Linked DNA regions of Drosophila melanogaster. The gene in region 1 interacts genetically with each later gene. Each region holds a gene or a part of one and is shown in the gene's direction. Other genes may lie near its edges. The genes, in order: eyg, Caf1-105, pb and Ser.

The links.
Region 2: of eyg (region 1) and Caf1-105, changing one enhances a phenotype caused by changing the other (phenotypic enhancement), as found in Drosophila melanogaster (one study listed by BioGRID).
Region 3: of eyg (region 1) and pb, changing one enhances a phenotype caused by changing the other (phenotypic enhancement), as found in Drosophila melanogaster (one study listed by BioGRID).
Region 4: of eyg (region 1) and Ser, changing one suppresses a phenotype caused by changing the other (phenotypic suppression), as found in Drosophila melanogaster (one study listed by BioGRID).

What each region holds. Positions count from the first base shown.
Region 1 is NT_037436.4:12,460,667-12,470,326, reverse strand, and holds eyg (eyegone), read left to right. Parts: upstream 1-2,305; 5' UTR 2,306-2,708; coding exon 2,709-2,841; intron 2,842-4,162; coding exon 4,163-4,483; intron 4,484-5,163; coding exon 5,164-5,304; intron 5,305-5,429; coding exon 5,430-6,013; intron 6,014-6,224; coding exon 6,225-7,058; 3' UTR 7,059-7,790; downstream 7,791-9,660. Other genes in the region: CG32102 (uncharacterized protein), read left to right, coding at 904-1,170.
Region 2 is NT_033778.4:10,464,793-10,471,740, reverse strand, and holds Caf1-105 (chromatin assembly factor 1, p105 subunit), read left to right. Parts: upstream 1-3,200; 5' UTR 3,201-3,295; coding exon 3,296-3,885; intron 3,886-3,944; coding exon 3,945-5,598; 3' UTR 5,599-5,740; downstream 5,741-6,948. Other genes in the region: whd (withered), read left to right, coding at 1-123, 236-301, 992-1,373, 1,436-1,795, 1,856-1,978; CG11777 (uncharacterized protein), read right to left, coding at 2,295-2,540, 2,804-3,040, 3,105-3,107.
Region 3 is NT_033777.3:6,738,350-6,745,019, reverse strand, and holds the start of pb (proboscipedia), read left to right. Parts: upstream 1-2,956; 5' UTR 2,957-3,852; intron 3,853-4,845; 5' UTR 4,846-4,920; coding exon 4,921-5,470; intron 5,471-6,670. Other genes in the region: zen2 (zerknullt-related), read left to right, coding at 946-1,005, 1,073-1,771. UniProt on the Drosophila melanogaster protein: Sequence-specific transcription factor which is part of a developmental regulatory system that provides cells with specific positional identities on the anterior-posterior axis. Controls development of mouthparts, and labial and maxillary palps.
Region 4 is NT_033777.3:27,190,132-27,197,038, reverse strand, and holds the start of Ser (serrate), read left to right. Parts: upstream 1-2,771; 5' UTR 2,772-3,095; intron 3,096-4,914; 5' UTR 4,915-5,296; coding exon 5,297-5,533; intron 5,534-6,907.

The sequences.
Region 1 (9,660 bases):
GGGATCAAATGGTTACGAAATATGTATATACCATATATAACACTATTCCATAGAGACCATTGATTCAACTCTTTAAATATTGCTATAGATCTTGAGTAAACTAGTAAAAAAAAATCGTAAAAAATATTTTTAAAAATTTCAGACTTTAATTAAGAACTCTTACTGTCAAGTTAAGACAAAAAAATGTTGTAAGAAGATAATTCTGTTACTTTAAATTATCCCAGAAAACAATGGAATGAAAAATATCTCAGTGCTGAAAGGTTTCTTTGGTTGCTGAGCAATATGGGTCACCGGTTTACGCAATTTCTTACCGTGCAGCGATCGGTATCCAGATATTATTTACTTAGTAAATTATTCCTGTTCGATTGTTTGCGTTTGCTCTGGATCTCTGGCATGAGGGCACTCGAACGTCATCGTCAGCAGCGTTTCATTCATGATTCGCCTTTCACAAATCGAAGAAACATATATGCACGAGTGTTCGGTGCATTGTGCACTTTGCATTCGAACAGACAAATAAATACAAAGGCAGTTCTGATCAGCTTAGTGAGACATCTCATTATCGCCAGGTGATTCTGCTGAACCATATCGTTTCGCATCCAGATTTCTGCACTCGCTCCTCTTTCCACCCGATCCCATCCCATCCCAACTGATCTCATCCCATCTCATTCCATTGGGGAATCATTTCAGGTAATTGCTTTTTAACTCGACTCTCAGCTTTCAGCTTTCATCTTTCAGCTTCCAATTCGAATCCTGCATCGCCGGGAGCCACTCAATCCGTGGGCTTTGATGCAATTTGGCTTCTGTGCAGGCCACTCTGCCACTTGGTGTAGCCCGTTTCTGCCCCGTTCTGTTCTGAGAGTTGCGAGCTGCGAGCTGTGATCTGTGTGGCTCCCCGATCACGCCATGTGTAGTTTAGTTGCAGTTTCGATTCACATCGGATTGCCTTGCCCAGGCAGCACATCAATCATCCATCACGCACCAAAGGCCGGGAGACAACGACCCAAAACGGGCAGTGCAAACCTGAATGGCAAACGGCCCATGCCACGCATGCGATTTATACGTGTCCAAGGTTCACTCTGGATCGCAATGGATGCAATTTGGCCACTTCACTGCACATTTGACCGGATTAAAATTCCTTTCAAATGGCTATATGCTACTAAGCTCTTTTAAATTGCAGGCATTTTAGTTATTGTTATTTAGCGATCATTTTATGTTATCTTTCAATGCAATAAACGATTTAGTTTGTTTAAAAAGGACTTTCAGGCTTAAATCTTCTTTTAATAAGTTTATGTTTAAAAATCGAGTTTTAATTGCAATTGGTCAGTTTAAAAGCGGAATAGTAGTTATGAAGTCCACAAAAAGGAAGCAATTTAATGCTTTTCTGTTTTATTATAATGCTAATGTTTATATTTTGCTGAGGTATTATTTACCAATTATTTATATATATTTTTTTGTCTTTCTCCTGAGTAGAATCAAATAAAAAGTAAAACAAACATACCATACTGCCATTTTATTGATACAATATTACAGCTATTTTAATAATTTCGAAATAAAATATTTTATTATTATTATTTATTTTAGAAGTGTAAGCAAAAAGCCAAACTTCTTTTCAGTCTTTAGCCTTAATTGTTAGAGATTATACATATGCATGAACTTTTGTAAATGTAGCTCATTTGTACACAGATCGATATGATAATCAAGAGTTGGTATTTGAAAGTGCCTACTTATTGGGGCCATGGTCTCTGGCTTAAAGTAACGATAAATTGAATGCATTACTCAACAGTAAAGATTACGAACTAAATGTTCCTAAATGGTACAATTTAAGCTGTACGGTTAATTCAATCAATTAGAATATTACATTAGGCGAGAAATGCACCTAAAGGTTGACTTCAAACGTGCTATGGTATCCCAACTACATTTGTAGTTAAAATTAAAGGGTTCCCCAACTCCTCTTTCTCTTCTTATTCTGGTTCTTCTTCTTGTCACTTCCCCAAAGCGTTCGCTCTCTCTCACACTCACTGCTCTTCATTCGTCTGCTTCTTCTTCTTCTTCTTGCCACTGTTTATACTCAGCACTTTACCAACAACGAGTTTATAATTGTTTGATTTGTGTGCGCGCATAGTGTGCATGTGGTTGTCCCGCTCTCGCGCAGAAGAGCGAGAGAGCAAGAGTTTGCCTCAACGGGCGCCATTATGAAAGTACGGTACTCGTAAACCGGTTGGCGTTTCGAAAAGCACTCAAAAGCGGAGTGAAACTGTTCGAGTGGAGCGGAGTGACCCGGGTGACCAGGTGAAATTCAAGCGCTCATTGTGCTGAGAGCAGCTTTCGCGTGAACAACGTTTCAACGGAGCGCAGTGTTCGCAAGAAATTCGATAAAAACAAATTCTATAATAAAAATAAGAGCAAGAGATACGCAGGAGCGTTTTCTAACTGTTTCTGTCGGGATCGACTGTCGTGCATTTGTCACTGTGTGTGTATCTGTGTGCGTGTGTATGCGAGTGTGTGAGTGAGCAGCACGCTATGAATCCAATTGACCGCATTGCGTTTCCATTTCCGTTTCCGGTTGCATTCGCTATAATCGATACCTCTGCCTTGGATGTGCGACACTTGTGACTGTGATTGTGTTATACCCAAATAAAATTAATAAAATAAACAAATATAAAATAACAATAAATAATAAAGAGAATTGGAAAGAGCGATTCTTAGACATGTTGATTGAGCCGACTTTAAACCGTGACCTTGGCTCGCTTACTGTCGCTAATTCTGGCCTCTCGGCCGCGCACTGGAAAATGGAGCCCCATCCCCAACGCATCACATCGCTGGCCCCTCACGCTTCCAGTGGTAAGTGCCCCAAAGTGCCCATGTGAAGTCTTGCCGACGGCAAAGCCAGGCTTGGGGATTTTAAGAAAATATACACAAATCTTCAAAAAATAAATCCGAAACTGGGTCAAAGGTGTAATATGTCATTCGATAGCAAATCCGGAATGTTCGAATTTTAATTTAAACAAATTAGTTCTTTCGCGATAAAACCTAAAATCTATTATTGAAATTATGTATAACTAATAACTAAGCATCGTTTAAATTAGTGTGTTAAAACGGTGTTTCGGTTAAAGTATTAAATAAAGTATCAAACTGGGTCAAATGTGTTTATGTGTAATTCTTAACCAGATCCATTTAGTTTGAATATAGTTGGTGTTAACTTTTCGCTGTAAAACAAACAATTTTTTATTTAAATGGTATATGGTAGATAAATTATGTAAATTATCAAATTGATCATACAAAGGTCTATGTAAAACTAACTTTGAGTGCCTTTTTATTTTCTTAAACAGAAGATAAAATAAGTGTGATCCTTTATAATATTTCTAGTTTAAACAATGTGGGCCATTTATAAGAAAGCGATTAAAATTTGTCATGTTCGTACTTAGTATGTTCATAACAAATGTTTTATGTTATTCCAACTTAAATCTTCAGTTAAAACAAACACAAATCGTTACGCATGTCACATTACCAATTGCGTGGCTCATTTGACAGTCCCATTTCCTTGCTTTTCACCTTTAAATAGACCGAAATAAACAAAACTGGTTCTCATTTGATGGGCGGCACAATTGATTATGGGCCCATATACTTACATATATGTATATTCAGTTAGGCACGACTGGAGGTGCGCGTATTTTTTTAAAAATATTTACTTGACAAACAACAAAAGTGAAACGCGCATTTAAAACGCTAATTGACAATTTGAGCGACGAGTTGCCCAAGCCGAATGATATATGTAGGTTTTTTAAGCGAAGGCAAATATAATATTCTGTCGAATTAACGTAATACACAGTTGTTTTTCTACTTGTTTTTTGCTTTCTTTTCGTATCCAGCTGAGTACATATTTTAATTTTCGCCTTTTGTACTAAGAGATCATTGTCGTATCAATTAGCTTGATAAATCTGCTCGTGCCTGGAAGATTCGATTGCGTGTCGCCACCATTTTGGCCATTCGATCAGCTTAGACATTTGCTGGGGTAATAGAAACGCTAATATATTCGTAGGACCCATCAGTCATTTCGGTTCGGTCAACACAATTAACGCTTAATTTATCATAATTAACCATTGTGGCCGCGACAGCTAAAGCCACAATAAAATAACAATACCCAATTATCATTCAATTGCAGTAGCGGCGGCATCCGTGGCAGCAGCAGCAGCAGCAGCAGCGGCAGCGGCAGCAGCGGCGGCCGGAGCGGGATCGGGAGCGGTAGCCGGTGGCGGAGGGGCCACATCCACATCACCCACATCTGTGCAAATACCACCCGGCTTTGGCGGCGGCGGCTCCACTGGCGGCATTCCGCACGGTGCAGGTGGACCCACGGGGAGCACATTGAACACCCTGATGTCACAGCATCGCCTCCTGGAATTCTCACGTTTCGGTGGACTGCGTGGCTATGACATTGCCCAGCACATGCTAACCCAGCAGGGAGCTGTCTCCAAGTTGCTAGGTGAGTTGTGAGCCCTTGAAAGGGACGACCGCTCAGTTTCTCAGTTCCTTCCCTCATCAGATAACTAATGGGTACTTTGTTTTCGATTTGTTTGCTAATTTTTATGATAAACATGTTATTATCCTGCGAGTTGCCCCTACCATCCCCTGCGTGGCGTATCCCTCGTGTGCGCAGCCGTGTAATTTGGCCACTTAAAATTGCATAAACTCCTGACTGGCGGTGGCCAAAACGCGGCTGGCTCATTAATCAAAATGCGGCTTATTCACGAGCGGGTATTCCTTGGTGGTAGTGTTGGTTGGTGCGTGCTGCCGTGCACTGAAAGAAAAAAATGCTTAATTCCAAATAAGGATATGTGATCACATTTATTCCATGTTTAGAATTTTTTAAGTCTTTTAAACCCGTCATTACAGTAACTTTAAGTAGTTAAAATCACTCATTTTTAAGTTTTCCAATTCTTGAGCTGCTCTGGTTTCTACCAGTGTATTTGCCAAGGCTTGTATTGTTTTCCCATTCATATTTTCCATACATCACATGTTGATGAAACGAGCAGATAAAGATATTAGCAACCAGGGTTAATCCTTGCTGCCAGCCAAAAACAGATGGATTGCCAAAACCAGGCTGGCAAAGTCATAAATCCATTGTCTCATAATTTAACTGGAATTGTGCTCTGATTCTTGCAGGCTCGCTGCGACCACCGGGCTTAATTGGTGGCTCAAAGCCCAAGGTGGCCACGCCGACGGTCGTCTCCAAGATCGAACAGTACAAGCGCGAGAATCCAACGATCTTCGCCTGGGAGATACGAGAACGCCTGATTTCGGAGGGTGAGTGTTCCACATAATTGCAGCTAATCCGCGGACGCAGATTGAACGCTGATTGATCGGCGGTCGCTTTTAGCTTTTGATCTCGATCTTCGACTGCTCGGTAATTGCGTAATCCCGCCTTGCAGGTGTCTGCACTAATGCCACCGCTCCATCGGTGAGCAGCATCAATCGCATCCTGCGCAATCGAGCCGCCGAGCGGGTGGCCACCGAGTTTGCTCGCACCGCCGCCTATGGCCTGTACCCGCCACCCCCTCATCCGTACGGTAGCTTCACCTGGCATCCGGCCGGCAATGTGCCCGGCGGCCAGGGGGTACCACCACCGCCACCTCCATCCGCCCTGTGGTCCGTTGCCGCTCCCACGCTCGCCAATCTGCCTCCGAGTGCAGCGAGCGCTGTGCCCGTCTCCACTTGTGGCTCCCTCAGTTCGGCGCACTTGATGGCCGGCGGAGCAGGTGGCACACCAACCAATCGGGCCATCTCCCCTGGCTCTGGCAGCCATGATACCTTGGAATCAGCGGATGAGAACCGGCACATAGACTCCGATTATCTGGATGACGATGATGAGCCCAAGTTCAGGCGGAATCGGACCACCTTCAGTCCGGAGCAGTTGGAGGAGCTGGAGAAGGAGTTCGACAAGAGTCATTATCCTTGTGTGAGCACCAGGGAGCGGTTGTCCAGTCGCACCAGCTTGAGCGAGGCAAGAGTTCAGGTGAGTCAGGTGAAAACAAAGGCTTCACTCAAAACTTTCAAAAAGCAAGATTAAAAGTGGCTAGTAAAGTAGTTACATACCATTTGATTTAAATTAATGAGTAAATCAATACTTTTATATCAGAAATTAGAGTTACCTCTTTCAAAGCCAATTAACCAAAACCTCAAATAACTAATCTTTATTAAATATCATTTATTTCTACCCTTTCCAGGTGTGGTTCTCCAATCGCCGGGCTAAATGGCGTCGCCACCAACGCATGAATCTCCTGAAGCGTCAGCGCTCCAGTCCCGCCAATCCGCTGCACTCGCAGCAGTCGAACGATGCACCGGCCAGTTCGCCCACGCCCAGTAACCACAGCAGTGCCTCCACCTCCGCTCCAGTGGCTCCCGTGCCGCCACCTCAGCAGCCGTTGCCCCTGTGCGGTGACCACTCGCCACAGGGTCCGCCACCTTCGGTGCTGTTACACCCACTGCATGGTCCTCCGGGCGGCCACCATCACCATCATCCTCTGCACCTACCCACGCATCCAGCTGCCCTCCAGCTGCTCAGCCACTACCACCAGCAGCAGCAACAGCAACAACAGCAGCAGCATCAGCAGCAGCAGCAGCAACATCATCAACAACAACAGCAACTCTCACCCAGTGGATGCAATCCGGCGGCGAATCACCTCTCCATGGGCGGGGAGCGTAGTGCCTTCAGGAGTCTGGTGAGCTCGCCCTCGGCGGCTGCCTTCCTGGGATTGGCCAGGCAATATGCCGTGGCTGCATCATTAACGGTCGCCGAGGAGCAGCGCTCCAGATTGCACTACTCCGCAGGTGGTTTGGGGAGCGGTGGTGAGGGCACGGGACCCAATACCAACACCACTCAATCTGGCGGCTCAACCATGACGGTGGACAACTCGTCATCGGACTCGGATGAGGAGATCAACGTGCACGACGATTCCGATGGTGAAATTGAGTCGTCGGCGGCAACGGCGGCAAAGGTGGCTCGCCTGTCATCCTCCGATGCGCCGGCCACGTTGCAATTCCTAAAGCATGACCGCTAGATGGGCGACATGGGCGACAAGGGCCACCTGGTCTAGATGGGCGGCGGCAAAGTCTAATTGAAAACCTGAGTTGTGCGCGCCTCTGTGATTGACAGTGGCAACAAAAACAAAAGCAGCAAAAGCAACAGCAACTACTGATGCAATTGCAATTGCATTTGAAATTGCAACTGGTGGACTGAAATACGAGAAGCGACTACACACACAGTGGGCAAACAAATCGAAAAACCAAAGTTAAAATGCTGCTCACCTACTTGGCTGCGGTTCGGGGTCGCTAGAAAAAAGAAAAAAAAAACTAAATAAAAATAGAAAAAAGTAAACAGAAAAATGTAGCAGAAAGCAGCAGCAACAACATAATGGGCGGCTTAAGATTAGCTGAAATTGTAACTAATACCCGATACGAACACGCTTGTCCCACTTGAAATGCACATGCCCATTGTATACCCTATAGTTATGCATAATTATACTATAATACTTGTTCATTCGCCGGCTGCCGACTTACCTCATCACCATTTAAGGCTATAGCATATGCAATATCTAACTATATGTAACTTTAAACTTTAAAATAGTCCTAAGCCAAATCTATTTATGAATGCGTATTGTTTAAGGATTTGATTCTTGAGTTGGTTGCGTTTGAACTGATATTTAGTGCGTAGACTAAGTGTTTTTGGCTCAAATAAAAGAAAAAAACTAAAATGGTCAACCGCTGAGTGAGAAACCAATAAAAAGTGCAAGAAATAATGAAGAATCGTTTACTTTCTTTCGGCAATAAACAAACAGAAATATATGACCAGGAAATCGGTTTGTATAGACTCGCTTTGGTTTGACAACAAATACAATTTATACGTTCGATTTCACGCATAATTATCCATTCAAACACACTGGGCAACAAACAAACACACCAAACACGGCCGAAAAGCATAAATAAGCATTTAACAACACTCGAAAGCTTCTTAAAACGTTATTAAATATTAATACACCGAACGAAGACAGAACAAAAAGCCAAACGAAATCGAAATCAAAAAAAAAAAAAAAAAAAAAAAAAATCCAAATCCAAAATACGCGCATAGAAAACGCTTAAATTTCGAACGTAATGGCCAATATGTCCAAATCTGGCTGATAACATCGACATTTTAATTATAACCAAATGAAGCCGCGCGCACAAACACAGTGGGGACAGACTAAACGCGACGAGGAGATGAGAATGGATGGTATGGTTTGGTATCATATGGTATCGTATGGGGACCGATTAAAAATGCCGAACCAACTAAGCACATAAATCAATGTAAATTATGGTGTTAACAAAAGGCGAGCTTGCAGGCTTGGATTGGATCCGATCCGATCGGTTGGAATGGGATCGGTTTGGATCGTTGACTTTTGTAGGTTGGTTAACCGGGTGGATGCGCGTCTTTATTTCTGGCCTGGCCGAGATTTAAATGAGCTCCTCGCATCTGATAAGCGAAAGAGCGTGGAGCACCATTCGTGTCGATACTTACAGCTCCGAACGGAATCGGGATCGGGATTGGAAGTTGTGGACTAGGGGGTATTGGGGGATTTGAGAATTTTGGGCTCGGGAATGGTCATCGGGTGTCCACAAATTCAATTTGCTTGGGCTTTTATGAGCAAATGGCCCAGCCCCATCTCCATCGCCATACCACCAATCGACTTATTCTAATTTAGTGCGGAGCTCTGCTCGTGAGCATTCCTTTAATAAATTTAAATCACCTTCTATTGAAAATATTTTCACCTCGGGCCCATAAATTATACATTATACGATATTTATACAGTCTGCGCCACGTCTGTGCTATATATATACATATATACATACAATATATGTATATTCGGCTTTTATTTGCCTTTTGGGTTCGCGCTCATTCAGTGATTTCGTTTAGTGTACTTAACTTTGATTTGACGGCCTGGGGATTCCATCAACGTGATTTTCGGCTCCAAGGGATTCGCTGGAGGATGCCTTGGTTTGATGGACCAGGGCAAAGTGGCGCTCTCATGAGCGCCATATAATCGCGCAGTCAAACATTTTTACGATGCAGCATCTCAAGCTCGTATATCCAGCAACCTCGACGAGCTGATCAGTTGGCCACTTGATGGGCCACGAGGATCCTGCAGATTGTCCTGCAACTTTGTTGCCAAATCTTTGTTGCCCGCTGTTGGGTATGAGCAGTTTTTATTGTCTTGGGTTGGCGGAAATCGATGAACTTTACCAAGGCTCCACCGACGGACTCGAAGTACACAGATAAAAATTTCATTAAATAGAAATATGATTAATACGATATACCTATAACTTAAAAAATCATTTTTATTTGAACTTATTAGAATGAATCTGCCATTCTAATTTAATCAGTATTTATCAATAAAAAGTGTCCCTCCGACAACATTCAACATTTTCTATACACAATTTTTTCCAGTGCATGTGTGTCTTTTGTGCCTCCATTGGCAAGGAGCCGGTGATAAATCTGTTGGCGAGCCGGCGCAACATCGCCATTGCATACTTCTAAATGGACCATAAACGTGCGAAGTCGCAACACCAGCAATAACTAAAGTTAGTTACGTTTACTAATATGACAACAATGTTGTTCTTGGGCCCTTC
Region 2 (6,948 bases), on another chromosome or scaffold:
ATTGCTGGACAACTTTGGCAAGAAGCTGCTGCACGGCAATGGCTACAACCGCTGGTTTGACAAGTGTTTCACTGTCTGTGTGGGCACCAATGGTCGCGTTGGCTTCAATGCCGAACACACCTGGTAAGTGGATTCCAATCGCTGCAGCCAATATCTTCCTCTCAGCATCCATAAAATTTCTACGATTTGCCATACTTAACTATCTGAACCGATTTGTAAAATTACAATCCAAAAGGTCCGACGCTGCCATCGCGTCACACATGTGGGAGAACCTGATCGTCGATGATCTTGTATCGGACGGGTAATGATTTTCGATTCCTATACCGCCTGCAATTTTTCGGTTTCGGTTGGCTGCGTTTAGTTATCATCACCTATCACCCATTGTCCCAATCAAAAATTATTATTATTTTTATTAACTCCGGTTGTGGCCTAACAATTTATTTACACCATCTACACTTTTTTTATAGGGCCGATGCACCGGTTTTGGGACACCTGTGGGAGTATATATTTGGTGATGATATTTATGGGTAAACACTTAACTACAATGCACACAAGCACAAAGCAAAGTTATTCAAGTCATTTTTGGGTTGAGTACGAGAGATCACTAGGCGCTAAAAGCTTTAATGATCTCGCCATACAGTAAATACTAGCATAACGAACTTGAAACATACAAAATCTAGTATGCGAATGCCAGACACGTTTTAAGGGATTATTAATTTATTACATGAGGAATAGTTTGATCAGTACGCAGCATATTTTATATAAGCTTATGTTGGCCATTTCAGTTGTTTTTCCTTACTTTCCTTACTGTCTTTATTTACTGTATTTACAAATTGTAATCAACCCAAAAGTAAACATTTAGTTTATTTTGTTTTCGTGACTAACAACAATTACACAAAATTAACAATACTTTGATTTACGTTGCTTGCCATAAATTTGCCCACAAACCGTCTCCCCACAATGCTAACCTATTCCCTTGGTAACCCTGTAGATATGACGAAACGGGTAATACAAAGGGCACCCCGGCGTTCCAGCCACCCACGCCCACTAGGCTCACTTGGGATCTTAAACCATGCCTGGCGCAGATCGAAGAGGCCACCATCGATGTGACGAAGCTTATCAACGAGGTCAATCTGCGCATCCTGGTGCACCAGGATTACGGCAAGGGCTTTATGAAGAAGTGCCGCATCTCACCAGATGCCTACATACAAATGGCCCTGCAGTTGGCCTACTACCGAGATGCCGGTCGCTTCTCGTTGACATATGAGGCTTCAATGACCCGTCTGTTCCGCGAAGGAAGAACTGAGACAGTGCGTCCGTGCACCATTGAGTCATCCGCCTGGGTCAAGGCCATGCAGAACCCAAATACAACCGTAAGATTTTACAATTTTATGTAATTAGATCAAAGGCTAATCCATATATCCATGCTGTACAGAACGATGAGCGTGTGAAGATGATGCAGGCTGCCTGCGATCGTCACCAGTTGGGCTACCAGGATGCCATGTGCGGTCGTGGCATCGACAGGCATCTGTTCTGCCTGTATGTGGTCTCCAAGTACCTGGAGGTGGATTCACCCTTCCTCAACGAGGTGCTCAGCGAACCCTGGCGCCTCTCTACTAGTCAGACTCCGCACGGCCAGACGCCCAAGATGGACCTGAAGAAGCATCCGAACTGCATCAGCGCTGGAGGCGGCTTTGGGCCCGTGGCCGATGATGGTTACGGTGTGTCGTACATTATTGCCGGAGAGAACCTGATATTCTTCCATATCTCAGCGAAGACTACGTGCCAGCAAACGGTAATGAGGAGCCCTGATTCATGGCATGGAGCACAGCTAATCGAATTGTTTTCTTTACAGGATGTGCACCGCTTCGCTCAGAACATATCGCAGGCTCTGTCAGACATTCGCAGCATGTTCGAGCAGCACATGAAGGACCATCCGAAGCCCGCCAAATCACTCACAAACGGCAAATCCACATAATCCCGTTTAGTCCATGTAGTCGAGATTCTTGTTAGCATTTGTTTTTACCCCCCTAGTTGGTCGTTTTAAACACATCTGATACATCCGTCTAGTTCGAAATGAAGTGCAAAAGTCGTCGTGAGAGTTATACATAAACAATGCAATTTTTTATAAACAATTGTGACTTGGCTGGTTTTAAGATTTAGTCTTTAGATACTTTTGCACAATATTTGATGTTTCTCAATCAATTAGTCTGTAATCGAAGAAATCGCGTAACCTTAAGTGCTATAAATATATTTCATTTTAAGCGTACGATTGGCCTTTGTCTCTATCTCTATCACGTCGCCAAAGGATTGGCATGTATAGTTACTCCATTGATCTTCTTGTCCACATGGGGACGATAGTTCTTGGGATTGACGGGCAGTTTCTCCAGTTCATCCAGGGCATCGAATCCATCGATCACACGGCCAAAGAGCGTGTACTTCAAGTCAAGATTTGGCTGGGCGGCATAGGTAATGAAGAACTGGCTGGCATTGGCGTTCGGTCCGTTGTTGGCCATGGAAACCATTCCTCGATCAGTGTGCTGAAGAATTAAGTGGTCAAGAATTAAAGGATTTCTTCTTGTATCTTGGGAATCTTTTAGACTGAAAAACGAACCCAACCACATGACATATTAAAATGTAAAATGATATGGATGTCAACATACATTTTGAGATTCATGTGCTGGTTACATTCTAAGATTAGATACAATATACCCTTTAAAGCCGGAATGCTGGGTATTAAAGCCAGCTGTCATGGCGCAACTGAATGAGGGTTTTTCTGGTAAAACCTAGGTAGCCGGCTCACCTTAATGGTCTCCTTGAATTCGTCGTCGAACTTCTGGCCCCAAATGGACTGTCCATTCTTTCCGGTGTTCGTAGGATCTCCAGTTTGGACAATAAATCCCTTGATGTTTCGGATGAAGACGCAGCCGCTGTAATAGTCGCTCGCACACAGGGCGAGGAAATTTTCGCAGGCCTTGGGGCAGGCATCGCAGAAGAGCTCTATTTTGAGGTCACCCACGTCGGTGTGCAGCGTTACAGACTGCAAACAACACAACAAAATCGGTTAAAACTGTAAGAAATCAGATATTCCAACTTTTGTTTACCATTTTAAAAGTGATTGTGCAGCCCTCGTTTCGATATGCAATCGGTCCATTAACGATAACAGAAATCGAAAACAGCACTATTTGGTATTCCCGTGACCGAAGGTCACACTTTTAGGCGCGAATTCTGCCGCATAAAGTGATTTTTCTCTTCGCACTTCAACTAATCAACAGCGGCACATTAAGTAAACAGGATGAAGTGCAAGATACCCGAGATTTCGTGGCACAACCGCGATCCTGTCCTGAGTGTGGATATACAGCAAAATGGCCTGGGGCTGCGTTCTCCGACGATATGCCGCCTAGCCTCTGGTGGTTCGGATGCCCATGTCCTCATTTGGTATGTTAACCGAAGTGATGACGCCGAGGGCGTGGATGTGGAGCTGGCCGCCGACCTGTCCCGGCATCAGCGTGCCGTCAACGCTGTCCGCTGGTCACCGAACGGAGAACTGCTGGCATCCGGCGATGACGAGAGTGTTGTCTTTATATGGAAACAGAAGGCCGACCACGAAGTTGTCAACATTGTGGACGCCGATGGCTGCAGTGAACAGGACAAGGAGGTCTGGTTGACTCTCAAGGTACTGCGCGGCCATCGCGAGGATATCTACGATCTCAGCTGGGCGCCGAACTCACAGTTTCTGGTCAGCGGATCCGTGGATAACACAGCGATGCTCTGGGATGTGCACAGTGGCAAATCACTGGCTATTCTAGATGACCACAAGGGCTATGTACAGGGCGTGGCATGGGATCCCTGCAATCAATACATCGCCACCATGAGCACCGATAGGTAAGCAGTACAGTCCAAAATGTTCGAACTTTAATCGAATGGAGTTAAATTTCTTTTAGACAAATGCGGATATTTGATGCCAATACCAAGCGAGTTCTGCACCGAGTCAGCAAATGTGTACTCCCAGTAAAAGAGGACCACGAGATGCACGGCAAGAGCATGCGATTGTACCAAGATGGAACCTTGCAGACCTTCTTTCGCCGCTTATGCTTCACACCCGATGGTAAGCTGCTGTTAACGCCGTCAGGAATTACCGACTACGATGGTGTTGTGAAACCCATAAACACCAGCTATGGGTTTAGTCGCCATGATTTGTCCAAACCCGCCTTTGTGCTGCCCTTTCCCAAGGAATATGCGGTGGCTGTTCGCTGCTCTCCGGTACTGTACCGTCTGCGACCGTACAATGCGGAGAAGAATCCTCCGATTATTTCGCTGCCGTACCGCATGATCTATGCTGTGGCCACAAAGAACGCTGTGTTTTTCTACGACACCCAGCAGCCGGTGCCGTTTGCCATTGTGTCCAACATTCACTATAGCAGGCTTACGGATTTGGCCTGGTCGAGCGACGGCACCGTCCTGATCGTGTCCAGCACCGATGGCTACTGCTCACTGATTACCTTCGAGCCAACCGAGCTGGGCGACTGCTATGAAGATATGGAAACAGTGCTGAGCGTTGTTCTAAAATCTTCAGAGAATGCAACGGTGTTGAAAAAGAAGAGGCAAAAGCTGCGCAAGGTATCGTTGGATGAACCACGGAAACCACTGCAGGAAAAATCGAAACCAAATACAATTAGAAGGGCGTCCGAAGCAGGTATCACAGAGGTAGGGGAACCCGAGTTGGATGCTGAAAACGATTCATCAACGCACAGTGTCAGTTCGAATAAAACGAACAGTCCCAAAACAAAAGCTAGCGAAGAGGAGAAACCCACTCCCATCGCCATCAGGCGTTCGCCCCGTAAAAATTCGACTGCACCCATGCCGATTGCTATACGCAGAGCTCCGCGTAAGCCCGAGGATAAGGGGAATAGCGAATCGAGCAAGCCCAAAGACGAAATGGAAGTTACTCACACAAAAACGACTCAAGTGCAGAAAACAGTGGCATCACCTGTCAAGCGCAAGGTGAGCACAGAGGCAGTGCCTCCAGCAGAGACATCACAGCCGGCACTTGCAGTGATTCCGGTGTTCGAGAAGGAGATCATCAGTTCTGATGATAAGTTCGAATCGCCTGAGAAGAAGTCCCGACCCGCAACACCAATTCAAGTGCGTCGCCAGCCACGAACTCCTGGCAGCTCCAGCCAATTTAATCTAACGCCGAAAAGCCAACCCGCCAAGCAAGCTACTCCCATTGCAGTGAGGAGAACTCCACGCGTACTCATCGAAATGCCGGTGAACTCGCCTGTGGTCCCAATGGAGGAGGCCATGGATGCCTGGCCCCTCGACGAGAGCATCACACCCCTGCCAGCGACAAAGAAGGATTCTCGAAAACCCTTGCCGGAGACTGTAAAGACCGAAACGAAACCAGCGGTAATAGAGGCCAGCGAGGCCACCTGCGAGCGAACTGAGGACATTCGTCTGGTCTACGAGGATACGCAAGAGGAAACGCCAAAAAATCCGACTGAATCGGGGCCATCCACGCCGAATAACAAGACGCCACGTCGCGTGTCCTTGCGAACCATATCCACGCCCAAATCAAAAAAGAAACTTTTAGAGTAGACAATGCAATAGATTAGACTTAACAGATTTATGTTCATAAGATTAAGATTTTTGGGATCTTTGGGGATACCCCATACAAAATTGTAAAAAATAGCCAAAATTCTTCCTAATATATTCCACAATAAAACGCAACACAAGGTTTAGAGGTAATTGTATTGCTTTGGCTTCGGGATCTTTAAAACGAAAATTGCAGTCAAAATGCAGTAGTAATTTGCAGTTTGTACAGTTTCAGTAGTTCCTATATCAACATACACGATTCTTCTACCTGTGACAAAAGTCATCTGATAAGTTATGTGACTGTACTGGTCAACTGTACCACGAAATCCTCAAATTAAAAATGCTTCAAGAGGGTTGTTCTACCTGGTCCCAAGTTAAGTTTCCATGAATTTGCACGGGGACGTATTTTTTGGAAGGACTTTGTGAAAAGACATTTATTACCAGACAGCTAAATATTTTCAAGCAAAATTGCGACGAAAACAGATTTTTTACTTTTCCGTGACTAATAAGTGGCACCAAATTTTTTAATTTTCCCCTTTACTTTTTCACCACTTTTCCTCCTGATTCTTAAAATTGTTTGAAAGTCGTGCCATGCAATCTGTCCTAGCGCGCTTCGTCACTACGTGGACTGCCGTCGCCAGTGATGTATTTTCGGACCCAGTAGATGGGTCTATCTTTTCATTCAGAAACAACAAACTTGCTTGGTTTTATTTATATTTATTTAAATTGTAGATGATCTCTAACGTTTTGAGTTTCTTTTACATACAAACATTTTGGTTTACTTCAGTTTTTTATATCATTATTTTTATGTTTTATATATTATTTTAAATTTTTAATTCAACGATTCAAATTCATTCATCATGTTCGAGCTTAGTTAGCTTCCGTGGCTCGCCTCAAACTCATTTTAAAAATTTTCCATGGGCCATTAGCTACACTTCATCCATGTGGTCATTAGAGAGAGGAAAGGAGCTCAAGAATTGAGGAGAATTATATTTCCACATACGTTAATATAGGTAAGTATATAAATAGTTAAACAAATCTGATCTGTTGCATGGGACAACCAAAGCATTTATAATTAGGCTACAAATTAGATTAGATACAATGTCTAAACTTTGTCTAACCTATACTCTTGGTTCCACTGGCCATCTCGTCTTTCCTCCAGCTCCTCTTAAAATCCCAAAGTTTGGTATTCGCCACTCACAAAAAATCGTGTGTCTGAATGTCCTTGGACATTTGATTCGAAGTAATTCACATTACCGTTGTTATAGCTCTTTATGGATTTCACTTATAAATGTTTTAACTGCTATTAAAGTAATTTTAGTAGTGGTGCGACTTGCGATTTTATGAGTTATG
Region 3 (6,670 bases), on another chromosome or scaffold:
GTTTTAGTTTACATAAGCCCGGGCGATCGTAAATCTGTGCTATATAGCACGTAGCTCGGGGGATATGACCGATTTTATAGCGGGCGATTGGATTAGCTTGAAGTGACACTGTTTTTACAATCAGGGATCAGGGTCGGATCGCTTAGCAATGCTAAGCAGGTAGCTCAACCCTTAGATATTCATAACTGACGCGGAAAACCCCGGGAAAAACCAAGACCTTTCCCGTTCATGGCCAAAACATACCTGGCCGGGGGATTGGGGTCTCGAAGGCATGAAAAAAGCTGGGCAGATCCGTAGGTATATAGGTAGGTAGGACTATCAGTGGATATTTTGGATGACAAAGTGAACTTAGAACACACTTATTTTCAAATGATAGTCAGTTTTTATTTGGATAAGAATGGAAATATTTCTCAATACTGAAATATTATTTATCTATAAGCTATCTCGTAGGCCTAAAGTTGATTTAAAATTAAAATAATTTTTATCTAAGAGTTAACGTTTAGGTGCCTTGAAAATGGAGATGTATTTTAATGTTTTCATCACAAAATGTTTCAGATCTTAAAATATATTACATTTGATTTTTTGCAAGTATTTATTTGACGAACTAAATAATATCATATAAATAAAACAAATAGATCCAGACGTAACATTAATATCCCCTGAATAATATTTCTCCGTGTGACGCTACTTAGAAGTACGTCGGTTTCTCTGGAGCCTGGAACTCACCTTGATTCGGAGCCAGGCTCAAAAGGACGCGACATCTACCAGCCCAGACCAGCCGTCTGGGAATTTGAAAGTGTCGCAGGCGGGACAGGTAGGAACCAATCCGATCCGTCACGAAGGGCTTCTGGGGTATATAAGCAAATAAGGAGAATCTAAAGGTATCTAGTTAAAAAACATCGGCCACAGCGGTCAGAAGCCAACAAATCGCGCTCTTCAAGAAAAATGTTTGCCATTCAAAGCGAAAACTATTTTGTGGACAATTACTCAGTCAGTGATTTAATGGTGGGATTTAAAAAATTACTGCTTATTTAAATAAAAACTAAGATTTAATTGATCTATATATTTATAGATGTATCCTTGCGTCGAGTTAAACGTAGAAGCCGCTCCCACGGCAACAACAAGGTCTTCGGAGAAATCAAAGAGATCTCGCACGGCATTCAGCAGTCTTCAGCTAATCGAACTAGAAAGGGAGTTCCATCTCAACAAATATTTAGCCCGAACCAGGCGAATCGAGATATCACAGCGTTTGGCACTCACAGAGAGACAGGTTAAGATCTGGTTCCAAAATCGTCGCATGAAACTCAAGAAGTCGACCAATAGGAAGGGTGCCATTGGAGCGCTGACCACATCTATTCCACTTTCTTCCCAGTCGAGCGAAGATCTTCAAAAGGACGACCAGATCGTAGAGCGTCTCCTTCGATATGCCAACACAAATGTGGAAACAGCTCCACTCCGGCAGGTTGATCACGGTGTCCTGGAGGAGGGTCAAATTACACCACCCTATCAGAGCTACGATTACCTCCATGAATTTTCTCCTGAGCCCATGGCTCTTCCCCAACTGCCCTTCAATGAATTCGATGCTAACTGGGCGAGTTCATGGCTGGGCCTTGAGCCAACGATTCCTATCGCAGAAAATGTAATTGAACACAATACACAGGATCAGCCAATGATACAGAATTTCTGCTGGGACTCGAATAGCTCTTCTGCTTCATCGTCGGATATTTTGGATGTTGACTATGACTTTATTCAAAATTTGTTGAACTTTTAAATATATCTTTGACTATATGTTTAGGCAACTGTACATACATACATATATAATCATTGTATTATACGAGCAATATCTTTCTGTGACTACATTATTATTACTTATTTTGGATGAAATAAAATATGTTTTATAATTAATGTGCGCATTTATTTGTTCAAACAAAAAATGCTGGTTGTGCAGCATTTGGGGATACATTTTGCGGACTCGATTTTCAAAAATTTCACCACCAGACAAATCAAATATTTTTAGACAAAATTCCATTTTAGTGGGCGATACAGTTGAGAAACTAAATAAGCTTGACTTGTTAAAACATTTATTTATATGATATTTATAATGAATGGCCTTGGCTTTTTATTTTACTTAATGCTTCCTCAAAGTTTCTGTATTTTTCACACATATATCTTTTTCACAATTTTAAACAATCTCATGGTGCGCATCGTCATTACGTAGACTGCCGATCACATAGCTCCCTGCTGTCAGACAACTTGTTCGTCAGAGCGTCCAAGTACGAACACCACCCCCAGCTGCAGTGCAAAATCGTGGCAATATTTTTACACCTGTAGTGACACCCGTGTGCATTAAAATCCGCACATAATTACAAACTCTGCGCGGACTGGATTGGAGAACGTTAGCAAAAAGAGGGCGAAAAAGCGGCCAAAAGGCAAAAAGCAATGCCACCAAGATTGACAGGAGAAGAGGCGCCCAAAACAAAAAGAGCGATGAGCGAAGCAAAATGTCAAAAATACCCATAGCCGAAAGCCAAAAAAGCCGGAGAGCGAGAAACTCGCTACTGTGGCTTTTTCTTTTCATTTTTTAGCAGATGCGAAATGTGTAAATAAGAAAAACCAAATAAATTCCGTCACAAGCAACACGTTCGCGTTGGAAGTGGAAAAAAGTGAATGAGGCAAGAAAACGCCGCGGAAATGATGGCCCAAGATACAGGGGTTCCCGAGCTACACGACCGCAAAGATACAAAACAAACTGCCGAGCCGGCCAATCAGAGGGCCGGAGACTTGTGCGCCGGTGTGTGTGAACTCCACCCCCTGGTCTCTGCGCGTAATGGCTATAGTAACCAGTTTCCAGATGGCACCGCGCATGTGCCGACCAGGAAAAAGCGTGATGGATGCGGTGGCTGTCGCTTAGGCCACTCCTTGATACTGGGTCCCAAAATCCCAGTTCAGTGCGTTCGGTGCTATTGGATGGAATGGTTGTTGGCTGCTATCTAGCTCTCGGGAACCGCACGAAGCTCCCCAAAAGCCCTCTGTCTCGCTCTCGCTACGAATCGGTTCGGTATCTAAAAAATAATATTTATTAAAATGACAGCTACAAAAATAGTTCAAAAATTTTGAAAACTAAAAAGTGATATTATTAAAACGAGTTGAAACCAAAAGTTTTACTATACGGTTGAGAAGCACTTTAGGAACCCCTGGAAACCCGGTTCTGCGCACCTCTTGAAGGCCAGAGAGGGACAGCTAGTGCCCACATGTGTATGAGTGCGAGTGGAGAAAACTATCTCAGACGAATTGCAACGACTGAGTGTGTGTCTGTGTGTGGCCATTGCAGCGATCGCAGCGACTCTACAAAACTCTACAAAATCAACACATTCCGCATACGCACCGTTGTACAGCGCGTACTTGCACTATTGTCGTTATCGCCGTTGTTTCGTCGGTTGTGTTGGCCTTTCGCGTCGCCATGGCTGCCAAAAGGTGTGTGTCTATGTCAACCTGAAAGCGAAAAACCAACTCCAAACACCACTTGACGGTTGAGCAAACACAACGGTGGCCATATTTACATTCGGATCTGGGTTCCCTCGCTCTCGTCGCGGTTGTCGCCTCTTTTCGCGGCCCACAGATAAGCCCTGACACACTGAAGTTTTACGCAAAACCCGCATCGCAAAAGTTGTGCCGGTTGAAACTAAAAAAAAAAAACAAACAAAAAGTTAAGCCAGTTACTATGAGCGAGTGCAGACAATAGTGAAAACGGTGACCCAAGTGATACCGGTGAAATTTCCACAAAGAACGCATATGTCAACGTAAGAGGAGAAATATGGAATACTGTGGTCTGTAAATGATCAACTTAATATGGTACGAAATTATCTTACACATATTTCTTACCTACATTTAAAAATAAGTGTATCCTTTTAAAGCACGAGAAAATCAAAGCGTGTCGTTATTTCGTTTTTGATACAACATGTTAGTCTAAAATACGAGCCTTTTAAGTCGGCAAAATGTTTACTGCAAGAAATATTTCAAATCTTTAATTGGCGGAATCGGAAAATATATTCGAATTTTCTTATTCATTTATACTTCCTAGGAAATTAGCTATGCGGCATTTCTTAGATGAGGATATGTAACAGCTTTATAACTTTTTCTGTTTAAAATATGTTAATTTATTTACTGACTATTAATCCTTAAAAAAATAATGTAAAATAATGTATGCGAACCAAGCCAATTTAGGTAACATTGTAGGACAGGTTGTATGTATTGTACATACATACAATACATATTGTCAAATCTCAATCGAAATTAGGTGGCCATAAATTTAAAGTGAAGGCCTAACAATTTCTATAAGAGCAATAGTAAAAATGCAGACTACAAATGAATTTCTGGCACAGAAAACTGAGAGACTAATGAAATATAAATTGGAATATGTAATTTAAAAATAGTCAAGTTTTTGACAGTTGCAATGTGAAAAATTGGATCGGTAATAATAAAATAAACATTGATTAGCATAGTAAAGTGACGATGTTTTTGTTTCTTAAAATGTTAATGAAGATAATGACATATCTTAATGAAGTATATACGTACATTATATTGAAATTATATATATTCAAAATATATAAATAAAAATTCAAAAATTATAAATATAATAATAAAATAAACATTGAATAGCATAGTAAAGTGACGATGTCTTTGTTTCTTAAAAGGTTAATGAAGATAATGATAACATATCTTAATGAAGTATATACATACATTATTCAATTTCACATTCGATAAGAACAGTGAAACCTCTAACTTCCTGGGAACTGAATCGTGATAACATTATTATGAGATTACAAAAATGGCTTTCCTTTCCAGGTTCCCAAGCTGAGGAACATCTAATACGCTCAGGAATTGAAATAGAAAGAATCTAAAAAAAATTATACCCAAGCTATGCAAGAAGTCTGCAGCTCCTTGGACACGACCTCAATGGGCACCCAAATCAAATCGGAATCTCCACTCAACCCGCTGCAGGTGCAAACTGGACAGACGTCCCTGCCAGTGGGTGGTTGCGGTGGTGCGGGCGTCGTGGGTGGTGTGGGTGGCGTGGGAGTGAGTGTTGGTCAGCCTGGTATCGGACAGCAGGGGGTGCCACCTGTGCCGTCGGTGCTCATGGTCAACAAGATGACCCCGAACTGTGATAAACGGAGCGCGGACACGGCCTATTGGATGACAGCATCCGAGGGCGGGTTCATCAATTCGCAGCCGTCGATGGCTGAATTCCTCAACCACTTGAGTCCGGAGAGTCCCAAAATCGGAACACCTGTTGGATCCGGCGCCATTGGCGGAGTAGGCGTCAACGTTAATGTCAATGTCGGCGTCGGAGTCGGATATCCGGTTGGCGTTGTCCCTCAAACGCCGGATGGAATGGACTCGGTGCCGGAGTATCCCTGGATGAAGGAGAAGAAGACATCCCGCAAGAGCAGCAACAACAACAATCAGGGTAAGTCCACATGCACATTACACTGGGGGAAGCATAAGGTTTTTAATTTAGCGATCGACCATGTCAATTTGAACACCATTCTCTGAAGAATAGGCGATAATCTCATCAGTCCATCTCAAACTATTGAATCAATCAAATAAAAAGTAAGATATTTTTATAGACACTTTTCCATATCAGTTTAGACCGGAATCAATTGGGTTCTCTTGTCCCGGCCATTTTTTCTTGCCGTGTACTGGCTGGTGAAATGCGAAACTCTCATTAATCACGAGCTCACAGAAACCTAAAGACTCCAATAGCGCCAATTATGCCACTACGAAGTCCCTCTGGCACCTGGTTTCGAAGTGATGAAGAAAGAGCCAGTGCTTTCGCTGACCATTTACAAAATGTATTCCGACCAAATCCCTCTACCAACACATTTATTCTCCCTCCTTTAATAGCAGCCAATCTAGATCCTCAAGAACCCTTTGAATTCCGACCATGTGAACTAGCAAAGGTTATCAAAGAGCAACTGAACCCAAGAAAATCGCCTGGCTACGACCTAATAACTCCAAGAATGCTCATTGAACTCCCAAAGTGTGCTATTCTTCACATCTGCCTGTTGTTCAACGCAATCGCCAAGCTTGGATACTTCCCTCAAAAATGGAAAAAGTCGACCATAGTAATGATTCCAAAGCCAGGAAAAGATAAAACGCAGCCATCATCATATAGACCGATAAGCTTACTAACATGTCTTTCAAAGCTGTTTGAAAAAATGCTACTCCTTCGGATTAGCCCTCATCTTAGAATAAACAACACACTTCCAACACATCAATTTGGCTTTAGAGAAAAACATGGAACCATCGAACAGGTCAACCGAATCACGTCAGAAATTCGTACTGCTTTTGAACATCGAGAATACTGCACAGCCATTTTTCTAGACGTCGCGCAGGCATTTGACAGAGTGTGGCTCGATGGACTTTTGTTTAAAATAATCAAGCTGTTGCCCCAAAACACACATAAGCTACTGAAGTCATACCTATATAACAGAGTGTTTGCAATAAGATGCGATACAAGCACTTCACGCGATTGCGCAATCGAAGCTGGAGTGCCGCAAGGCAGTGTACTGGGTCCAATCTTATACACCCTGTATACGGCGGATTTCCCCATAGACTACAATCTAACAACCTCCACGTTCGCTGATGATACCGCGATACTCAGTCG
Region 4 (6,907 bases), on another chromosome or scaffold:
ATAATGCGATGCGTTCGCAGCCTGTTTGCCTTACTGATTTTGCAATTGGATTTTGTTTTGCCAGCGCCTAGGGGTGGATTTCGGGTTAAATGAGGCGTACCTCTAGCATTTTACCCCTCTTCGGACGAACATGTGTGAGGTTCACAAGTGCCTTGATTTTGATTTCGGGTAAGGTGGTACAAATTGCGGGGTCAGGTCAGGTGGTCACATTGATGGATGGTTCGTCATGAATAATCTGTTCATTACACAACTGGAAAGTGGTAAGTTCGTTAAGCTGCACAATGCTGTGTTCTCAGCCCCTATAGAACCACATTACTTTCCTAAAAAGTAGAGCAATAATATCATTTTTATAAGATCTGTAGTTAAACTATACCAAGTTTAACTGTAAGCAGTATTAACATAAATAATACTTAAGGCGCAACGGATTCTAAAAGCCAATTTCATAATCTCGTTATCTTCATATTCTAATATTGAAAAGTTATATTATCCTAACTTAGCTTAAGATCTATAATTTTTAATGATGCTATTTCATTTAGCCAAGATAATACTATGGGCTGCAACCCTTAGTTTTACACAAGCTTCTTAGTGCAATAACCATTTAAATTAATAAGATCAGATTATTTTCCTTAAGTTCAGCGACCCCTCTTTTGTATAGAATTTGTAGTTTATACACCATTTAGCTAAACAGTGTGAAATACTATTAGCTAACACTCACAGATCTTTAAAGTAAATACCGCAATGGTTTTCGGGAAAAGTGCTGCCCCCTTTGAGCTCAGTTCCAATTCCCATTCTTTTTCCAATTTCTTTGGCTCGAGTATTCTCTGAAGTGTCCGTAACTTTACGCTAAAAATATTGCCCATAAATCTCCTGACCCGGCTGTGTGCCAATAAAAGCCTTCGTAAACAACTAACCTAAGGCAATGATTCTCCGGACGAAGGGCGGCCACTATGTGGCAACCACTAAACCACCAGAAACCACTAACCGCAAACAGCCACCACAACGGCAGCAGGAGGAGTGAAAAATTAAAAAAGAAAAACGAGGAGGCGGAAAAAACACTTGAAAAATCTGTCATAAAATGTTGAGTGGTGTAAAACCAACTGGTTGAAATTGCCAACATATTTGCCTGTTTGTTTAATGAACTCGCCCAACGAGGGTTTTTTTGGTTTGAGGGGGTGAACCTTTGTCAAGAGGGTGGGTTTAACATTTTGATTACTCAATATGTTTGATTTTATGGATTTATGCCACCGCTCTGGTCCACTTTTGCAGCTGTTACATGTGACAGTAAAACCAAAAAACACAAAAACACTTGGCCGGAAAACGAAAGCTAATCCCAAAAAAGAAATGCCATCAAACCCGAACAAGTGTCCAACAAGCCGCCAACACAGAGTGCCCCCAAATTATGAGAGACGCGCACAAAGACACCTGTAAGTCGTTGTCTGCTATTAGTTGAAATCAAAACGAAAACAATGTAAGCCACAGTGAGCAAAAATAATATCTCTGGGGAGCACCAGCTCGAAGTCTCTGGAGGCTGATGGCTGAAGGCTGTAGTCTGCTGGCCACCAACGCAAAGCTGGTCGTCGCCTTTTAGCCAATTTTGATATAACTGAAAGCGTCAATTATACGTGAAATTTATGATGCCGTGTGAAGAATAACACCAACTTGCAACATATTTGGACAACGAAGCCGTTGCCATTGCCGCTGGCAGTTGCCTTTGCCGTTGCCGTCTCGGTGGCCCGTACAATTGCCGCTCTGGGGTCTCTTGTCGCAGATATGTAAGCTGATAATGGGCATTGTAGTGCAGTTTTTCTTCCATTTCTTCTGTTTTTTTTTTCTTCTTTTTTTTTAAGCGAGAAAAGATGACAAAGGAGCTGGGAGACCGCTGCCCAGTACGCCCACCAAATAGAGGAGGATGGAGACCCAAATGGCCAGGGAGACGGCTAGAGAAGACATTTTGGGCACACACCAAGTCAATTTGTTTTATCTATTGTCGAACAAGAGTCATGTCACAACGGCACAATGAGATTTACTATGTGTTGTTGCAGTTGTTGAGGCAGCAGCAGTTGTTGCTGCTGCTGTTGTTGCTGTGGTGGGCAGACAATGGAAAATCAGCAACATGATTCGATATTTAGATATGCGCCTCAAGAAATATGAGCCGCTAACAACAACAGTAAGGTAGGCAGCAGCAACAACAAAGATGCTGCCGCCTGTCTTGTTGGCCGCATGTAATTGCCAAGTTTGTTGCTTAAGTCTTTTGTTTTGGCTGCACTGATAGGCCAGTTGCATTTAAATTTGATTTATACACTTTTGGCCAGCAGATAATTGGATGGAAGTCGCCGCTCTGTCTGTGTGGTTAATAATTGGCCGATGCTAGTATCTTTCGATTTGGTTCCCAGCCGTTAAAGATTGTGGGAGCGTTCCTTCATATTAGGTGTTAATTGCCAGTCCCTTGGAGCTACTAGATCTGGAGCACACACACACATACACACACAGCCCCAGAATGCACTTATTGGCATAATTAAGTTGGAATCGTAAAAAACGGCAGCCGAGAGCCTCGGGCGCGCATGCGTGCAGCAGCCGAAGCGGCAGCAACTCCATTAACTGCCGATTCTGATTCAGATTCCGGGCCCCGGGGCTATATACAGTCGTACGACCAATCAGCGGCTGGCTAAAGAGCACTGCACGAAGAGCAAACTGGTTTTCTTCAAAGAGAAGCACAGAGAGAATCGCTGCGAGTTAAGCTCTCGGGATCGACGGCAACTTGTGCCCAGAGGCAATCAGTCGTTAGTCGAAGCCTGAAGCGCACGCAGCACTCAGCGGAAGTCGTCGCCAGTTTATTTTGAAAGCGGTTTCGGTGGTTCAGACCGAGCCACAGTTCTCTTAAGACTGCAGATCACCACCACCACCACCACCACCAGCAGCAGCAGCGACAGCTCACCTCACCACCTTTACCACCACCAAAACCGCAGCTCTCTCGCGTGACTTGCTCCGCCCCGTGAATGGATGCTGCTCGAGGGCTGGAAATGCCGCAGGATTCGGTTAACGCGTTTAGTCGAGCGCCGTGCTTCGAGCGGTGATGAGCCCCTTTTCTGTCAACGGTAAAACCCCTCCTCGAATTGGATTATTGTGCACCCAAACTGAACGCCACCGACCATCATCCATATAACAATTGTGAAAGTGTTTAATGTGCCGCAATCGAATTAAATTGCTTGCTGATTACAACAAATGATGAAGAGCAATCAACTACAAATGCTCGGTGGAAGAAAAGCAAATCGAAAGATCGACAATCAGCCGACATTTTGCTATGTGTGTGTTTCCATAGTGTGTGATTAATTTCTGAGCCCAGATCGTGTGAGCTAAGGAAAACGGAAATACCTTTCAATTAAATACAATACATTAATATATCAAAATACAATGCCGTCAAAATTGTGTTTAATCAAAGGCGAAAAGTAAAAGTGCAAACAATGTGAATATGCGAAAACGAGTGCCCCATTCCGGGGGAATCGCTGGCCACAGTGTGCTCCATTGATAACGCACACAGGGACGCAAAACAGGGACACAAACACACGAAGCTACAACTACGAAGTGGAATTGAAACATGCCAAGTGAAAGGGAGAAAGAATGAAAACATCCGACTAGTTCATAATGCACGCAGATAATACAAATAATAATAATAATGGGCGCACATAGAGAAATTTCCACTAGAACTTAATAAGTGGGATTCCCAAACAACCTATTGAAAGTATTTGACTTTCTAAAAGCGATGCTTAACACGGATTTTTTTTTCTAAATTTAAAGAATTTTGAATTGAATAACAAATGTTTTATTAGAAAGTTAAAGAACTTTCCGTATAGATGAAGTAGTGTAGTTTTCTTCTGTGCACCGGGAGAAAAGAGAGATTGTGAAATCAGTTTGGTTCTGAATGGGTGGTACGAGCATGGGAAAGCCCCTGATCAAGAGAGCGCGGAAAATGCTCGATGCACTGCTCAATGATTTACCATATGCAACGAATAACGGATCTAGCACGGTCCAAAGCTTATTCAGATCGTTAAGTTCAAGACGGTGATCTGGTTGCACAATTATTTGATAAATCAGAGTATATCCAGAAGTTACTAGAAATAGAAATGGATACACGGTATACTAAAGTTTTGAGGCCGCTAGAAGTTCATTCATCGTTTTGCAAATTGCCAAGAGAGAAGAGTGAAAGTAGCGGTATTAGGGGGTATTAAGGGGGAGGTAGCTGCATCATCCACTTGCAAAAGCCACTTCCGGTCATGCCCTGCAGCAGCAGCAACATCCACATCAGCGGCAGCAGCAGCAGCAGCATGAGCAAGAGCGGCAGCATCTGGGTTTCGATTCAAAGTCAACGACTTCCGTTCCGTGCCAAAGCCGGGAGGAGGCCCCAAGCAAATTACTTAATTAAATGGACAATTAACACCCGAGCAGGAGGAACCGGGGCGGGCTGGGGGGCTAAAGGCCATGGGAGGATAGGATGGCCGGAATGGCAAAAGCAGCGGCAGGGTGGGAAGAATGAGTAATGTGAGCAAGAGTGAAAATATCTGTAAATTAATATGCGCACAAGATGCAAATTGTTTGTGGCCAAAGACACGGCTCCATAGTCGCAGCAGCAGCAACTGCAGAAGCAGCCACATCAGCAGCGGCAGTAACAGCGTTAAATTAACATAAATTGAATTGCATTTGCATTTGCTGCACGTTGCCGCTTTTTGCGGTCTGGCAAAAGTAAATGTTGCTGCGGTGGCTGGTGGCACTTGTTGCGGCTTGCTGCGGTTGCCGCTACTGCAACTGCAACTGCAGCAGCAGCAGCATCATCTGCGTGTCAATTAGCGTTGATGATGCACAGTGAAATAGATTTTGCGCAGCCCGTTTCAATTCCAATTCGTTCGACAATTGTTACAGCTAAAGATCTACAAAACATCAGCGCCTATCAAGTGGAAGTGTCAAGTGTGAACAAAACAAAAACGAGAGAAGCACATACTAAGGTCCATATAAATAATAAATAATAATTGTGTGTGATAACAACATTATCCAAACAAAACCAAACAAAACGAAGGCAAAGTGGAGAAAATGATACAGCATCCAGAGTACGGCCAGTTATTCAGCTATCCAGAGCAAGTGTAGTGTGGCAAAATAGAAACAAACAAAGGCACCAAAATCTGCATACATGGGCTAATTAAGGCTGCCCAGCGAATTTACATTTGTGTGGTGCCAATCCAGAGTGAATCCGAAACAAACTCCATCTAGATCGCCAACCAGCATCACGCTCGCAAACGCCCCCAGAATGTACAAAATGTTTAGGAAACATTTTCGGCGAAAACCAGCTACGTCGTCGTCGTTGGAGTCAACAATAGAATCAGCAGACAGCCTGGGAATGTCCAAGAAGACGGCGACAAAAAGGCAGCGTCCGAGGCATCGGGTACCCAAAATCGCGACCCTGCCATCGACGATCCGCGATTGTCGATCATTAAAGTCTGCCTGCAACTTAATTGCTTTAATTTTAATACTGTTAGTCCATAAGGTAAGCAAACCAACCAACATGCAAAAAACGATCGAATCCCCAAAGCAATAATCGCAAAAAGCCCCAGATCCAAATACATGCGGGTGTAGTGTCTCGTCAAAAAGGCCAAAAGAAAACAGACAAAGTTGATTCAACCCATGCGAATTGGCAATGGCTGAGGGCAAAGTTTTGATGGGGGACGTAAATAATGATGATTTTTGGGTTTATTTTTTTGAGTGATTTATCAACTCCGCATCCCGAAGAGCTGTCTTTAATGAGAGCTCTTACGCTGGAATTTTCTCAAAGCAGTAAATCAAGCATATGTCAATAAACAAGATTCGTAGAACGCGTTAAAAAAACAGAAATCATTTACAGTCTTAAGTTATTTAATAAGATTGAAAATGCTGAGATTAAAATAGAGGATATATTTTCCCTGTTCAATTAATGTATCCATTACGTTTTAAAATATCAACAAATCTACCAGCATTTTGATAACTGCACTTAGTCAAAATATTCCCCAAGTTTTAACCATTAAACTGGCATTTAAATAAAGTCATTCTCGATTTTTAGAAAAAGCCTCTGACTAAGAATTCTGGGCTTAAAACGATCGCATGGATGAGGACCCCTCGAAAAGTGATCCGCCAGATTAGTGGGCAGTTCTATCTACGAGAACCATCTCTACGAAATGGTTCCCACATGGCAACGGTAGTCGAGAATCGGAGGAGCTAGGTGGTTTTCGGGGTGTAGCCGTCATAAAGTGTTACACAAAGTGCCTAAACATGTATTGAGATGCCAGCGGAGATGCCCCGAGCGGCAATTAAAAAGGCAAAGAGTCGGAGAGCCAACGGCAGCCAACGGTTCAGAAATACATAAAAATTAATCGTTGGCCGGAAAGTTATAGGTAGTTTGAAGGAGCGGGGCTGGCGAGGGGTCTTAACAACAATTTGATTAATACGCCAGAGATCTCGAGAGCCAGACATTAGAATCCGAGGAGCATGCGAGTTCGAGTCCCAGTCCCCAGAAGAGCATACCGGGATGTGTCCGACCGTGGGGCAATCAAATTGATTACACACATTTATCTACTTGGTAGAGGGGATTGCATTGATTTAGGGTAAGCGAGGCGATAAAAGTCGCCGGCAGCAAAGATCCACCTTGGTCCCACTGCAACTATTTAGTTGTTAATGAAGTAAATAAAAGTTAAATATTTTGTAGCGACGATTTATGGCCAACTTCCAGGGAAAACCAGGGAAGGAAGGCAGCCATCCAGCCAGTCAACTGGTCAAGCGAATCCGCGATCATATCGCCTCAGTTCACATGGTCCCATGTCAGTTGAAATTAACCCAGTTACTCGGCCAAGTTGGGATGCCAAAAGGCTAAAAAATCCGAAAAGCCGCA